3 linked regions of the Macaca fascicularis genome follow. The protein of the gene in region 2 interacts with the protein of the main gene of each other region in a biochemical or structural test. Links are inferred from orthologs where the notes say so. Each region holds a gene or a part of one and is shown on either strand. Other genes may lie near its edges. The genes, in order: GLE1, NUP155 and NUP98.

Region 1 (5,776 bases), on a different chromosome or scaffold from region 2:
CTCCGTCACCCAGGCTGCAGTGCAGTGGCACCATCTCGGCTCACTGCAGCCTCTGCCTCCCAGGTTCAAGGGATCCTCCTGCATCAGCCTCTGGGACTATAGGTGCATGGCACTGTGCCCGGCTAATTTTTGTATTTTTTGTAGAGACAGGGTTTTGCCATGTTGCCCAGGCTCGTCTCAAACTCATGACCTCAGGTGATCCGCCTGCCTGGGCCTTCCAAAGTGCTGGGATTACAGTTGTGAGCCACCGCGCCCAGCCAACCAATTTCATCACTCCCAAAAAGAAACCCCATACCCATTAGCAGTCAGTCCCCATTCCCCTCCCGCAGCCCCTGGCAACTAGTCATAAAGCTTCTCTGGCTCTATAGATTTGTCTCTTCTGGACATTTCACATAAATGGAATTGTCTAACGTGACCATTCATGACTGGCTCATCTCAGCATAATGCTTTCAAGATTGATGTTTCAGTGTACCATCAGTACTTTATTTTTATGGCCAAATAACATTCCATTATGTAGATAGTGTTTCCTCCTGCCAAACAGGGCTGGTTGGGACTCCAAAGAAGCACTATGGCCTGGCGCAGTGGCTCATGCCTGTAATCCCGGTGCTTTGGGAGGTCGAGGTGGGTGGATCAGCTGAGGTCAGGAGTTTGACACCAGCCTGACCAACGTGGTGAAACCCCATCTCTGCTAAAAATACAAAAATTAGCTGGGCGTGGTGGCAGGCGCCTGTAGTCCCAGCTACACGGGAAGCTGAGGCAGGAGAATCGCTTGAACCCAGGAGGCGAAGCTTGCAGTGAGCCGAGATGGAGCCACTACTCCAGCCTGGGGGACAAAGCAAGACTCTGTCTCAAAAAAGGAGCACTAAACCCAAAACATTTATTAGGGAAACTTACAGAGTGGGCTGCAGCAATTCTTGCGACGGATAGCGAGAGAGAAGAGGTGTTTCACCTCGGTACATCCCCAGCGAGGGGTCAGGGTGTGGAGTTTATATGAGGGTTTATGGAATTTGGCTAAAGGCGGGTCAGTTTCAGCGTTTTGGGCAACAACTTAGATATCCTTATTAGTGCCTGGGGATATGCAAGGCCCGTATTTGGTTGCAAGTCTGCAGGAAAAAACTTGCAACTGGCTGGGTCACAGGGCGATCAAGGCACTCTGATACTTGGTCAGTGCACAGAAAGCGGGGAACTCGGGAACTGCACACATAGTACTGTATTTTATTTATCCATTCACCAATGGATGGACATTTGGGTTGCTTTCACTTTTTGGCTATTATGAATAACACTGCTTGTGAACATTCATGGACAAGTTTTTGTATATGCATAGGTTTCATTTCTTTGGTGTATTTTTTTATACATATATTTACCTAGGAGAATTGCTGGGTCAAATGGTAATTGTTTAACCTTTTGAGGAACTGCCAGACTGTCTTCCACAGCAGGTGCTTCATTTTACATTCCCATGACCAGTGTAAGAGGATTCCAGTTTCTGCACATTCTCAAGGCACATACCAATTTTCTGCAGCCCCGGGGATTGGGAGCTGGTGCTTACCTCCGCAGAACTTGCAGTCACAGGCAATTCCTGCGCGCAGGCGCACTGGCGGGAGGGCGGGAGCGTTGCCGGAGGCGGGGCACGCAGCCGTTAGGGGCGGGGCTGTGTTGCACTTGCGCCCCGGAAGCGGAAGCCTGAGCGGCCTTCCCGGCGGCTGATTCGAGGGCTTGTTTGGTCAGAAGCGGCGCCTCAGAGAAGCTGCCCCGGATCCTACCATGCCGTCTGAGGGTCGCTGCTGGGAGACCTTGCAGGCTCTACGCAGTTCCGACAAAGGTCGCCTTTGCTACTACCGCGACTGGCTGCTGCGGGGCGAGGTGAGCGGTGGCCTCGGAGGACGTAGGCCCTTCCGGCCGCTCGCGACCGAACCCTTCTCCTCCCTAGCCCTTGGCATGTTCTGCTTCCGGGAACCCGTGCAGCCTAACAACCTGCATTTATTTCTTGACTTCTGTGTGTACATCCTTCTGTCCTGGGGTTTCTGTCCTCTCCAGCCTATTTTAGCGTTTCGGGGAGCTCCCCTGACTTCACAGGTGCCCCGCGCTCTGAAGGCTTCATTGCTACCCTCCGCCAGTTGGGCGCCTTCTCCGCTCTGCTGTTGTCAAAGCAATCTTGGCCCAGGCTCAGTTAACTTACTGCGTGTCTCATGTGCTGGGAGCTCTAGATTTTGCGACGAACGATTGACACGACCTAATCCGTTGCTGCCAGTGAAATAACCAAATTTCTAGATTGATTTGGCAGACCTGGAAAGTGAATGGGGGCGTGGTCACTGTACCTAGTATTTGCAAAGCTCTACACTAGAAGTGGAGGGATGCGGAGAGTTAAGGCAGAGCTCCCATTCCCGAGTCGCTGCTAGTTAGCTACAGATAAGACGTTGTTCTGCATCCTCAGACTTCTTGGGAAACAATCCTAAAATATTCTCCTGTCTTTTATGTTGTTGACAGTTTTGAAAAATACAGATCTTACATTCTGTAGGTTGACTGCCAGCATAGGTGCTTTCAAACCACCAGACCAAGGTTAAGCAGTCTTGGCAGGAATACTACAGAAATGATGCCATGGCTTTCTCAGGAGGCACACAGATGTCAACCCATCCCAACACTGGTGATGCTAATCTTGATCACCTGGTTACGTTGTTATCTGCCTGGTCTTTCCGTTTAAATTCGTCATTTTTCCCTTAGTAATTGTTGGTAAGTATTGTGGAGATTACACCAGTATCATTTTTCTGGGCAAACCTTCATCCTCCATGGCTTTAGCATTCATTGATGTTTTCCACATGAATCGATCACCTCTATGACGTTGCCAGATCCTGTTTCTTTATATCCACTACTCCTTCTGCATTTGTTAGTTGGCGTTCCACCGTCAGGAGATGCTTTCTTTTCTCTGTTGTTTAGTTATATTGGTATGGACTCATGGATTTCTGTTTTATTCAGTGAGTTGTAATCCATTACTTTTATTATTTATTTTATTTTAAATATCCCAGATTTTGTAAGCTTGTATCAAAATATCACAGGCAAGGCTGGGCGTGGTGGCTCAGGCCCGTAATCCTAGCACTTTGGGAGGCCGAGGGGGATGGATCACTTGAGGTCAAGAGTTCGAGACCAGCCTAGCCAACATGGTGAAACCCCATCTCTACTGAAAATAAAAAAATTAGCCGAGCATGGTGGTGCATGCCTGTAATCCCAGCTACTCCAGAGACTGAGGCATGAGAATTGCTTGAACCCGGGAGGCAGAGATTGCAGTGAGCCGAGATTGTGCTGCTGCACTCAAGCCTGGGCAACAGAGTGAGACTGTGTCTCAAAAAAAAAAAGTAACGTTGTAAATATGTACAACGATTATGTATTCATAAGAATTAAAAAGAAAAATGTCCCAGATTTGGCTACTGGGCGACTCATTAAGTTGGCTCCTGTGTTCCTTTGACATGTTTCCATCTTTCATTGACATTTCTTTACTTTTTGGCACAAAAAGGTGTCCCAGGTGCAAGTTTCCCTGTCTCAACCCTGGAATCAGCTATTTCTCCAAAGAGGCTGATTCTTTTGAAGTGGAGGGTGGTGCTGTATTTACAGACCAAGTTCTGGGAGTTTAGTATGTTGAGATTCTTGATTGGGTACCATTGCTTCTAGGCCTTCTCAGTAGATAGAGCTAGGAAATAATACATCTCTAAATATGTACACATATCACCACATACACATTTATGTATTATCTATAACTATTTGTGTGTACATATATATTATAAAACCATGACTTCATACTGATAAATGCCATTTCCAACCCAGCACTTCACATTTCTTTCTATCTAATCTTACCCCATCCATCTTTGTAAATATGTTACCTAGCAGTGAGAAGTTTGGCTTCTGTTATTCTCAATATGTTTACTTATTTGCTCAATCAGTTTACTTTAGCTCGTTGTAGCAATCTCCCAACTACTCTGGTTTTTTCATTTATTTATTATATCATACGTAATCAGTACTTATTTTCTCATACAAAGATGTTCCAGGCTCATCTTATATTTTTCTACCTCCAACTCTGGAACTTACCTTTTCTGCAGAGACCCCTGGTTTCCTTTGATTTAAAATTATATTTACAAACCAAGATCTGGTACTAGATATGATCATTATTACTACTAAGGATGTATACACACATATCCATATCTATTTCCATTTTTAAAAAAATTATTAGGCTGGGTGTGGTGACTCATGCCCATAATCCCAACACTTTGGGAGGCTGAGGCGGGACGATTACTTGAGGCCAGTTCAAGCTGGGCCAGGCTTGGTGTCTCAAACCTGCAGTCCCAGCACTTTGGTAAGCCAAGGTGGGCAGATCACTTGAGCCCAGAAGTTCGAGACCAGCCTGGGCAACGTGGAGAAACCTCACCACTACAAAAAATACAAAAAAATTAACCAGGTGTGCCGGGTGTGGTGGCTCATGCCTGTAATCCCAGCACTTTGGGAGGCCGAGGAGGGCGGATCACCTGAGGTCAGGAGTTGGAGACCAGCCTGACCAACATGGAGAAACCCCGTCTCTACTAAAAATACAAAGTTAGCTGGGCATGGTAGCGCATGCCTGTAATCCCAGCTACTTGGGAGGCTGAGATAGGAGAATCGCTTGAACCTGGGAGGCGGAGGTTGCGATGAGCCGAGATTGCACCGTTGCACTCCAGCCTGGGCAACAAGAGCGAAACTCCATCTCAAAAAAAAAAAAAAAACCAGGTGTGGTGGTGGGTGCCTATAGTCCCTGCTCCTTGAGAGGCTGAGGTGGGAGTATTACCTGAGCATGAAATTTGAGGCTGCATGATCTGTGATCGTGCCACTGCACTCCAGCCTGGGAAACAGAATGAGACCCTGTCTCAAAAAAAAAAAAAAAAAAAAAAGAAAAAAGAATGGCTGGGCGTGGTAGCTCACGCCTGTAATCCCAGCACTTTGGGAGGCTGAGGTGGGCGGATCACCTGAGGTCAGGAGTTCGAGACCAGCCTGGCCAATGTGATGAAACCCCGTCTCTAATTTTTGTAATAATACAAAAATTAGCTGGGTGTGGTGATGGGTGCTAGTAATCCCAACTGCTCGGGAGGCTGAAACAGGAGAATTGCTTGAACCTGGGCAGTGGAGGTGGCAATGAGCTGAGATCGTGCCACTGCACTCCAGCCTGGGTGAAAGAGCAAGACTCCATCTCAAAAAAAAAAAAAAAAAAAAAAATGGCTGGGCGCAGGGTGGCTCACGCCTGTAATCCCAGTACTTTGGGAGGCCGAGGCAGGCGGATTTCCTGAGGTCAAGAGTTCGAGACCAGCCTGACCAACATGGAAAAACCCTGTATCTTCTAAAAGTACAAAATTAGCCAGGCATGGTGGCGTGTGTCTGTAATCCCAGCTACTCGGGAGGCTGAGGCAGGAGAATCACTTGAACCTGGGAGGCAGGGGAGGCGGAGGTTGCGGTGAGCCACGATCGTGCCATTGCACTCCAGCCTGAGCAACAGGAGCGAAACTCCATCTCAAAAAAAAAAAAAGACCAGCCTGGGCAACATACCAAGACTCCATCTCTACAAAAAATGAAAAAATAATTAGCTGAATATATTAGCGCATGCCTGTACTCTCAGCTGCTGGGGAGACTGGTCGAGGTGGGAGGATAGCTTGAGCCCAGGAGGTCAGGCTACAGGGAGCCATAATTGGGTCACTGCACTCCAGCCTGGGTAACAGTGAGACCCTGTCTCAAAAGTAATTAATTTCAAAAATGAAAAAATATGTAC
Region 2 (5,236 bases):
AGGCAACCCTATGGTCTTGGGAAAAGACAAAAATGGAAGGAAAAATACATTCAAAATGTATCCTAAAAATTGTTAGACATGTACCGCTTACAATAAACAGAAGGTAATTATTTGTGGTAGCATAAAACAAGAAGGGAATAGGCCAGGCACGGTGGCTTATGCCTGTAATCCCAACACTTTGGGAGGTTGAGGTGGGCGGATCACTTGAGATCAGGAGTTCAAGACCAGCCTGGCCAACATGGTGAAACCCATCTCTACTAAGAATACAAAAACTAGCTGGGTGTGGTGGTGCATGCCTGCAATCCCAGCTACTCGGGAGGCTGAGGCAGGCGAATTGCTTTGAACCTGGGAGGCAGAGGCTGCAGTGAGCCAGGATTGCACCACTGCACTCCAGGGTGGGCTACAGGGTGAGATTCTATCTCCAAAAAAAAAAAAAAAAAAAAAAAAAAAGAATAGAGTGTTTTGTTAGCTCTGGTTATTCCCACTCTTCTCTCTTGTTGCTATTACTTTGAAGCACTTGGTTTGGTTACTCTATTTTGTTAAAGAATAATTTAAAAGTACAATACTAACAGTTTTGCTATATACAGTGTGCCTTGGGCAAAACTCGTGTGTGTGGTTATTCACAGAGAATGGGGAAGGAGGAGCCACGTAGGGAGTTCAATCCATAAACTATAGAAGGCAGCAGTATCCTTTACTGCAGTGGCTTTCAAATTTGACATGCACCAAAATCTCCTGGAGAACTTGTTAAAACACAGAAAGCGCAGCCTCATCCCCCACGTTTTTGATTCAGTAGGTCTGGGTTGGGGCTCGAGAATCTGCATTTCTAACAAATTCCTAAGTGATGCTGATGCTTCTGGTTTGGAGCACATACTTTGAGAACCACTACTCTAATGGAATCAGTAGTCACAAGGCCAAGGAGCCAAGTAGACACTAAGGGAAAATAGTACCTCCCTGTGTAGCTTTTCACGACACAACATTAGTTACAAGTTTTATCACCTGCTCAACCAACCAGGTATATATATCAATCCTCAAGGGCTTTAACTGACAAAACTAGTTGTTGGAGGACAGTTCTTTCAAGGGTGAACCCAACACCTAAAAAAAGTTTTGAAAAAGTCAGTTATTTGCCTATTTAAGGACAGTTTTAGAATCCACTATTATGGCAATGGATCTGCTTAGCCTCTTTGGAGGTTTTTTATTTTTTGAGACAGTCTCGCACTGTTGCCTGGGCTGGAGTGCAATGGCAAGATTTCGGCTCAGTGCAACCTCCGCCTCCTGGGTTCAAGTGATTCGCCTGCCTCAGCCTCCCGAGTAGCTGGGATTACAGGCACCTGCCACCACGCCTGGCTAATTTTTTTGCATTTTTAGTAGAGATGGGCTTTCACCATGTTGGCCAGGCTGGTCTCAAACTCTTGACCTTGTGATTCACCCACCTTGGCCTCCCAAAGTGCTGGGATTACAGGCGTAAGTCACCGTGCCCAGCCGCCTAGTGGAGTTTTAATGCCAATATCCTTGGACTAACTTGAAAATGAATAATATAAATTCGAAATTTCTGCCCGCAGTACAATTCAAAATAACAGCGTCTAAATTTTTTTAATCCTTACGTTAAAATAGTAAATAATCTCATTTCGGTTGTTTTTTCACTCAATTACTAAAAAACAAAAGAGTAATAAAAAAGAATTCATTTAGAAAAGGTACTATTTGTAGATGTTAGCCACTTATTAAAAACATACTTCCATTAAGATTGTTCTTACATTTAGATTTAGAACACCTGATATCTGGACCCAGCTGAGTTTTTATTTTACAGATCACAAAATGGATGAAAGTATATCACAGTAATTAATGAAGCCGTTCTAATTTAGCCTGAAGAGATTTAAAATTCCCAGTGATGGCTTGTACTGCTACTGACGAGCTCATAGACTGGAGCTCAACAAGGTAACCACAAACAGCATCCAGGCAGAGATTTGTAAATCTTCTCCTATAAAGAAAAAGACACATGATTAATTATACATTTACAAATATTTCCTCCTAAAGGACTCCTTCCCCACCAACTTCTGGCAACTTTAATTCTCACAGAAGAGGAAAGACCATGTGATTAAGTGAATAAGAAATAAAGTAAAAAAGAAAACTTAGTGGGTAGGTGGGTTCCATTTGAAGATTTTTACAATGAGAAGAAAGCAGTAAGAGATGATTCCTGCTAATACTTTTTCAAAAGAATATCCCTTAAAAGGCCAATAATATCGCAAAGACATAATTGAAATGTTTTGGTCCTAGGTCACTAATCTAAAGCAGAAGAAACGAATAAATTATTTATGTTCAGCTGTAGAAAGAATTTAGGACAAGGACTGAAAATGGAAAAAACTCCTATTTTTCATACATGGTGATCAATATCATTCAAACAGTTATTGCTAATATACACAAGAGTTTAAATTCCCTGTACTTCTTTACAATTCCCATATCTTACCATCTTCTCTTCAAATTTCTTACCCAGGTATTTATTAGAAGCATTTAAAAGCTTTTGCTAGTCCAATATTTAATTCATAGGTACCTTTCACAATTTAAAACTTGGCTGGGATTCTCAACATATCTTGTCAATAATACATGTATACAATCCAAAAGGTGCAGTGGCTTCTTCATTCTATTCCAGAATGGATCCTATGAAGAAATATACGTAATGAAATGTGAGGCAAGTTGTGTCAATTGATTCTTTAAATCATTTATACTAAAGTAGACATCAGGGTCCATGCAAAACTTATTGCTATTAAAAAGCATTTAATATTACATGGCTACTAAATTATATATCTGATTATAGTTAATATTTCAAACAACATTAAAAACTTATTAATTAACAACACTATGATATTACTTAGGACGAATATTTGATATACCAATCTACTTTGCACAGCATGTAAATGTCCTGCTTAGGAATCTGAGGTAAGAGAAAAATCTTTCTTTCTATGGGTTGTGACACCACTTTCACTTTGAACCTATGCAGATTTAGTCTGACATAATAAAGAGACTAAACTAGCAGTAACAGAAACTTAATTCTAGGTCTGGCTTCACCAGTTACTAGCTATGTGACTTGAGCAGGTTATTTAACATCTCTGCTCTTGTCTTTTTGCAATATAAGATGGAGATACTACAGTTACCTGCTCATCTCCATCACAGGCTAATGTTGTAAACACTGTATGATGCTACTATAAAAGACACAATCTACTTTGAAAAGTTTTTATTTGGATCTTTTATCCTTAGCATAAAAATTACAAAACATATAGTCTGATAAGGCTCAGCAGGGTGAGAAGGATCTTTTTGACATTTTAGATGAGGTTATAGTAAATAAATACAATGTAATCTTGTTCTTTTAAAGCAAATGATGATTCTTAATGTAATGAGTTTAGCCCACACCTTAGTTTAGCCTCTTCCACCAAGAGTAAAGCATATATGTTTATTAATATTCAGAAATAATATTTCATTTTAATCATGATATACAGGAAAGCAACTCTCATTATCAGTTTAAAAAGTCTAAAGCATAATTTCCAAGACTCAACCAAGTGTAATTAGACTAAGTGATGAGATACAAAAATACAATCAAAATACCCCACTCTATATCTACAAAGTTACTTTAAAGAAAATAATTTTATGTTATTTAATATTTTCCTTACCCGTGATTTGAACAACTGATCATAAACTTCTAGTAGTCTAGGTAATGGTACTCCAATTTCATTCATTGTCTGTATTACGAAGCCCACATCCCAGTTCAAAGAACAAACCTGCTGTTCTAAAAACTGTACAATAAAATCTGGGAAGAAAAAAAAAAGGTTGGAAATTTGGATTTTTAGCTCTTGATACTAAAAGGTAGGTCTTATTCATAACTGAGTAGTTTCTAGGGGGATATCTTCTGAAATCCAATTGCAATTTTTTGGGGCGGGGTTTTTTTTTTGCTATGTTGCCCAGACTAGAAATAGTGGCTATTCATAGGAGCAACTACAGTGTATGATAGCCTTGACCTTGAACTCCTGAGCTCAATCCTCCCACCTCACCTTCCCAAGTAAGCTGGGACTACAAGTATGCACCATCACTCTCAGCTTAAAAGGAAAAAAAATTTTTTTTTAATAAAAGTAAGATATATACCAGAATAGGCAAATCTAAAGTAGATTAGTGGCTGCCTAGGGCTGGAGGGTGTGAAGGAATGGGAAGTGACAACTAATGAGTACAGAGTTTATTTTTGGGATGATGAAAATGTCCTAAAATTAAAATTACAGAACTTAGAAAATTCAGAAAGATACAAGAAGAAAACAGAGACCATTCACAATCCCAATAATGAAGAGGACTTCGCTGATAATTTTTTTTTAGTATCAGTACTTTTAAAAAATATGTTTCCTCGCACAAGTATACATAAGTAACAAACCTGCACGTTATGCACATGTACCCTAGAACTTAAAGTATAATAAAAAAAAAAAAAGAAAAAATATGTTTCCTCAATTTAACAGCTTTTCAGAAAAGGGAAACTGCATCCTGATTTCAGAAATATTAAATGTGTTTTTTAATGCCCCACCCCTAGATTTATTTGATAGTTCTAACTGTGGCCTCATTCTTACTTTTAACTGCCTGTCTTATCATAAACAGTAACAACCAAATTTATACTTATGGCCAGGCGTGGTGGTTCACGCTTGTAATCCCAGAACTTTGGGAGGTCAAGGTGGGCAGATCACCTTCAGTCAGGAGTACCAGCCTGGCCAACATGGTGAAACTCTGTCTCTATTAAAAATACAAAAAAATTAGCTAGGCGTGGCTAATTCAAGACTGACTTGGGCAATATCATGAGATCCCCTCTCTATCAAAAGAAATATATATATATATATATATATATATATATAAATATATATAAATAAACATAGAAATCCTCCTGCCTCAGCCTGATTAGCTAGGACTATAGGCACGTGTTACCATGCCTAGCTAATCTTAATTTTTTCTGTAGAGACGGGGTCTTGGTATGCCCAGGCTGGTCTCAAACTCCTGGCTTCAAGCAATCATCCTGCCTTTGCCTCTCCAAAGTGTTGAGATTACAGGTGTGAGCCACCATGCAAAGCCCACATGATTACTTCTGAATTAAAAGGAAAATTCCTCAAAAAGAACTATGTACAATACAGTGTTATTTATTTATTGAAATGGGGTCTCACTGTGTCACTGAGGTTGGAGTGCAGTGGTGCGTTCTCAGCTCATTGCAATTTTCACCTCC
Region 3 (5,091 bases), on a different chromosome or scaffold from region 2:
ATCAAAGTTCCAACTCCTAGTACAGCGCCTGACACATAATAGGCATAATTCAATGTTTGCTGTACTTTTCATATGAATCAAGAGCATCATTTCTAAATAATCACTTGAAGAAACCACTTTCTCATTGAATATTGAGTAATTCACACAACTATTATGGAGAACTCACTGTGTGCCAAGCACTGTAGTGGGTTTGGGGAATATAAAAGTAAACAGTATGTGTTCTGCCCTTACCAAAATAATGATTTCGTGGGGGAGATATATACAAGTAAAGCAGCAGTTACTGTAGCTTCATAAGTATAGGGGTTAAGCAAAGAGAACTATCAATGTGCCAGCACATAGCTGGATGTGGTGGTGCGTGACTGTAATCCTAGCACTTTGGGAGGCTGAGGCAGGAGGGTTGCTTGAGACCAGCCTGAGCAACATAGCGAGACCCCCCCTTTAAAAAAAAAAAAGCCTGTGTTACATAAAACCTCTCTAGTATTGGTTTGTTCTGCTTTTCCCCCTTACCCCACATGTCACCATGTAAATCTCCTTTGAATTCTCACCTTTGGGAGTTTTAGCTGTCTTCTCTTTGCCTGGAAAGCTGAGCTCTCTCCTTGTAATTCAGGTCTCGACTTAAATATGACCTCCTTGAAGAAGCCTCTCTTGGACCTCCAGTCTCAAGTAGCTATCCAGTTTCTCTCTGCAACATCCACCTGTTTAAATTATCTACATGGCTTGTGATTTTTCAGGATGTATTACTGTTTTATGTTTTCTTATTTAGTTTCTGTCAGTTTCATGAGAGCAAATAATTTGTCTTGCTCTTGATCCTCCTGCTGCCTGCACCCAGCTTTTTTGGTGTTTTAGAAAAGGCTAGGCCAGGCGCGGTGGCTCAAGCCTGTAATCCCAGCACTTTGGGAGGCCGAGACGGGCGGATCACGAGGTCAGGAGATCGAGACCATCCTGGCTAACACAGTGAAACCCCGTCTCTACTAAAAATACAAAAACTTAGCCGGGCGAGGTGGCAGGCGCCTGTAGTCCCAGCTACTTGGGAGGCTGAGGCAGGAGAATGGCGTGAACCCGGGAGGCAGAGCTTGCAGTGAGCTGAGATCCCGCCACTGCACTCCAGCCTGGGTGACAGAGCGAGACTCCGTCTCAAAAAAAAAAAAAAAAAAAGAAAAGGCTATAAACTTGGAGTCAGGGGACCTAAATTAAATGTTGGTTCAGGCTGCATTTTTTACTTCCTGTGTGCTCTTAAGAAGTCATACCATCTCTCTGAACCCAGTTTATCTTGATTTTTGGTGCTGTATTATTAAAGCTTGCTGTATTATTAAAGCTTGCTGTATCGTTCGGGATCTCAAGACTTTCCTAGTCCAAGGCTGTGTACACTATGTTACCTTCCTCTTTATTACTGCATAATTAGTGCCTTGTCCTCCACTAGATGGTGGTGGCTTGACCCTGTGTCATCTTCTTGGATTTTCCCCTCCCTCACCTCACTGTTGTTTCAAGGTTTTGTATAGAGTCTATAGGTGGTGTTGAGTGATAGGAACTCCCCTTGGATTAATTGACTTCTCTGCTTCTTTGTAGGTGGATTGCTCAGGTTATGACCTGGAGCAGTTACACATCAAAGTGACTTCACTGTGCAGTCGCATAGAGCAGATTCAGTGTTACAATGCTAAAGATCGCCTAGCTCAGTCAGGTAAGCCTCTAATCTCCTCACTTTTTCTGCCTTCTTGCTTCCTGTTTTTATCTTACACCCCACCCTCAGTGCCTGCCACCGTTCTCTAGACCCATGCTCAGTGCTTAACTCTAGTTTTTCTCTCTAGACATGGCCAAACGTGTAGCCAACCTGCTGCGGGTGGTGCTGAGTCTGCATCATGCTCCTGATAGAACCTCCGACTCAACACCAGACCCTCAGCGAGTCCCTTTGCGCCTCTTGGCTCCCCACATTGGCCGGCTCCCCATGCCTGAGGACTATGCCATGGACGAACTGCGCAGCCTTACCCAGTCCTATCTGCGAGAACTCGCTGTTGGGAGCCTGTGAGCCCCAGACTCTTTGCATCACACTCACATGCCCGTTCACACTCACCACACAGAGGTTCCCTGCCTTGTTTGGATTGGCACTGTTTGCCATTCTCTGGGTTGGCTATGGCATCTGCCCTCCTTCCCTGCTGCCACAAGCAGCATCCTCCAGTTGTTCAGGGCTTTTCTTAATACTAAACATAGCATAAGGGCTTCTGGAACCCAGAAGAGGAGACAATTCTCTTTTTACCATCCTCAAGACCAGTGTTTTTCCTTTTAATAAATGGTCAATAAAGCTCCTTTGGCAGAATCCCCCAAAGAACCAGGGAATCCTTTTTCACCCCTAGCCATTCTGGATCTTGTGACCCTCCATGCCAACCAGCTACCCTACTCCTACCCTGGCCCTTTTATGCTAGGACTCCTTAGGAGGAGTGAGACAGGTAGTAATGGATCCTTAACAGGTGAACTATCCACAGAAGGAAGAGGGATCCGTCTCTTAAGTAATTGGTTAGTTAACACTGAATTTTGGAGGCAGAGGAGGGTTGGCCTGAGTTAGGAAACAGAATGGGATCTTTCTGACACACTTAGGGCAGAAGTGAATGCCTGCCATGGAGGGATTGATCTTCAGAGCTTCTTTTGTTCCTGCCTTTAGTGTTCCATGAACACCATACCTTTGCTACTACTATGTGCAGGAGCCCTTGGTCATATGTGACATGTCTATGGGAAGCTCCCAGAATTTGGTTTGGTCCCTGGTTTTCAGTCATCTTGCTGAGAGTCTGTCTGGATTTGCCTGAAGAGTTTGGATTAAAAATGGCAGGTTGGGTAACCCTCCCTGTTCATCCCATGTTAGCTCTAAAGCATTTTCCACCCTCCATCATCCCTTCCAGAAGCAAACCATGACTGAGGCAGGCATGGAGTTGGGCGTTAGGGGCAGGCAGAGGGCCTTTGCTACACTGCTGACAGCTATAGGGAGCCCCAGGTAATGGCATGAGATAGCTGGTGTTAGGGCTGTCTCAGGCAATATGGCCACACCTGGGTCTTTATGCATGAAGATTATGTAAAGGTTTTTATTAAAAAATATATATATGTATAAATAAATGATCTAGATATTTTCCTCTTTTTCTGAAGTTACTTTCTTAAAAAATAAATAAATAAAATGTTTATAGCATTCCTGGTATTGGCTTTCCCTTTGTATTTTTGAGCCTTCTTGCCCTGAGGATCTTTATGATGGCCTTGTTTGATTTAGCCTGTTTTTGAATTTGCCTTCTAAATGGAGACAGGCCTTGGGTTAAAGAGAGAACTATTTGGTGCTAAACTGAGAGATAGATTAGCCCAAAGGCTAGATTTATAAGGGGAGATTTAGGGGCAAGGGAGTTGATTATTGATTAATACTGATTGCTGTACATATATTTATACATATAGATTTCCAGGTCTCAAATTGCCCAATAGAATATACCATTCAAAGCCTCCTCGCTCTTCTACTGTAGTGGTTTTGTTTTTAAACCTTGAGTGACGCTTCACCTTTCTAAGTCGGATTCCCTTTTGTAAAGGGGATAATGATCCCTGATGTTACTTCACACAGGGCTGTTTTCAAGAGGAATCAATTGAGTAGCATGAGTACTATTCCAGATCTTATTTTGATTTGTCAAGCTGAAGATATGAGCAAATACCCATTAAGATTAGAACAAAGACTTCTGAGACTTTGAGGAATTCAGGGATGAGAAAGCATAGTGGGTCAGCTCTGTGGCTGAAACTTCCATTTAACTTAGACACCTCAGAAGAAGGGTTACTCAGCTGGAATCCCCTCCACTACTGACTCAATATGTGATCCTGAGTGGGTCACAGAACTTAGTTGGACTTTCCGACCTGGTTTCCTTACCAGAGGAATGTTTCAAAAAGTGATTATGCTGTAGAAATGGTTAGCTCTTAGCAGTGTTAGGAATTGTGGGCCAGGAGTGTTCGCTGACACCTGTAATCCACTTTGGGAGACCAAGGTGGGAGGATTGCTTGAGGCCAGGAGTTCAAGACCACACCAGGTAACATGACAAGACTCTCTCTAAAATAGTTGGGCATGGTGGTGTGTGTGCATAGTCCCAGCTACTCAAGAGGCTATGGCAAGAGGATCGCATGAGCCCAGGAGTTGAAGGCTGCAGCGAGCCATGATTGTGCCACTGCACTCCAGCCTGGGCAACAGAGCAAGAAAAAAAGGTTCTAAATCAAAGGTTTATCATAGAAGCCATGTTGCATAAAAGAGAATATCAACTTCCAGTTCAAGATAAGGGTGATGAACAATGAACAATCTCCTTTTTTTTTTTTTTTTTTGAGACGGAGTCTCGATCTGTCCTCCAGGCTGGAGTGCAGTGTCGCAATCTTGGCTCACTGCAAGCTCCACCTCCCGGGTTCACGCCATTCTCCTGCCTCAGCCTCCCGAGTAGCGAGGACCACAGGTGCCCGCCACCACGCCCGGCTAATTTTTTTTTTTTTTTTTTTTTTTTGTATTTTTAGTAGAGACGGGGTTTCTCTATGTTAGCCAGGATGATCTCGATCTCCTGACCTCGTGATCCGTCCACCTCGGCCTCCCAAAGTGCTGGGATTACAGACGTGAGCCACTGCACCCGGCCTGAACAATCTTAATCTTTTTTTTTTTTTTTTTTTTTTTTTTTTTTTTGAGACGGAGTCTCGCTCTGTCGCCCAGGCTGGAGTGCAGTGGCTGGATCTCAGCTCACTGCAAGCTCCGCCTCCCGGGTTCACGCCATTCTCCTGCCTCAGCCTCCCGAGTAACTGGGACTACAGGCGCCCGCCACCTCGCCCGGCTAGTTTTTTGTATTTTTTAGTAGAGACGGGGTTTCACCGGGTTAGCCAGGATGGTCTCGATCTCCTGACCTCGTGATCCGCCCATCTCGGCCTCCCAAAGTGCTGGGATTACAGGCTTGAGCCACCGTGCCTGGCCTAACAATCTTAATCTTCTACATCCCCAAATCCCGTTGAAATAGTAAAAAAAAGTTTTAATTTCAAAAAAAGTTCTCAAAAACATAAAACAGGAACCAGTTACCTCAACATTCGATAGATCTGTGGAGTCTACAACATTCA

What was found.
Region 1: the proteins of NUP155 (region 2) and GLE1 form a complex in vitro, tested with the Homo sapiens proteins (2 studies listed by BioGRID). The link is inferred for Macaca fascicularis from reciprocal best matches to the Homo sapiens genes NUP155 and GLE1.
Region 3: the proteins of NUP155 (region 2) and NUP98 form a complex in vitro, tested with the Homo sapiens proteins (2 studies listed by BioGRID). The link is inferred for Macaca fascicularis from reciprocal best matches to the Homo sapiens genes NUP155 and NUP98.

Annotation. Positions count from the first base shown.
Region 1 is NC_088389.1:15,462,722-15,468,497, reverse strand, and holds the start of GLE1 (mRNA export factor GLE1), read left to right. Parts: upstream 1-1,686; 5' UTR 1,687-1,761; coding exon 1,762-1,860; intron 1,861-2,484; exon of another isoform or gene 2,485-2,727; intron 2,728-5,776. UniProt on the Homo sapiens protein: Required for the export of mRNAs containing poly(A) tails from the nucleus into the cytoplasm. May be involved in the terminal step of the mRNA transport through the nuclear pore complex (NPC).
Region 2 is NC_088380.1:37,611,621-37,616,856, forward strand, and holds the end of NUP155 (nuclear pore complex protein Nup155), read right to left. Parts: intron 3,797-5,236; coding exon 3,660-3,796; intron 2,653-3,659; coding exon 2,546-2,652; intron 1,976-2,545; coding exon 1,837-1,975; 3' UTR 1,775-1,836; downstream 1-1,774.
Region 3 is NC_088388.1:70,595,564-70,600,654, forward strand, and holds the end of NUP98 (nuclear pore complex protein Nup98-Nup96), read left to right. Parts: intron 1-1,566; coding exon 1,567-1,678; intron 1,679-1,805; coding exon 1,806-2,023; 3' UTR 2,024-3,169; downstream 3,170-5,091. UniProt on the Homo sapiens protein: Plays a role in the nuclear pore complex (NPC) assembly and/or maintenance. NUP98 and NUP96 are involved in the bidirectional transport across the NPC. May anchor NUP153 and TPR to the NPC.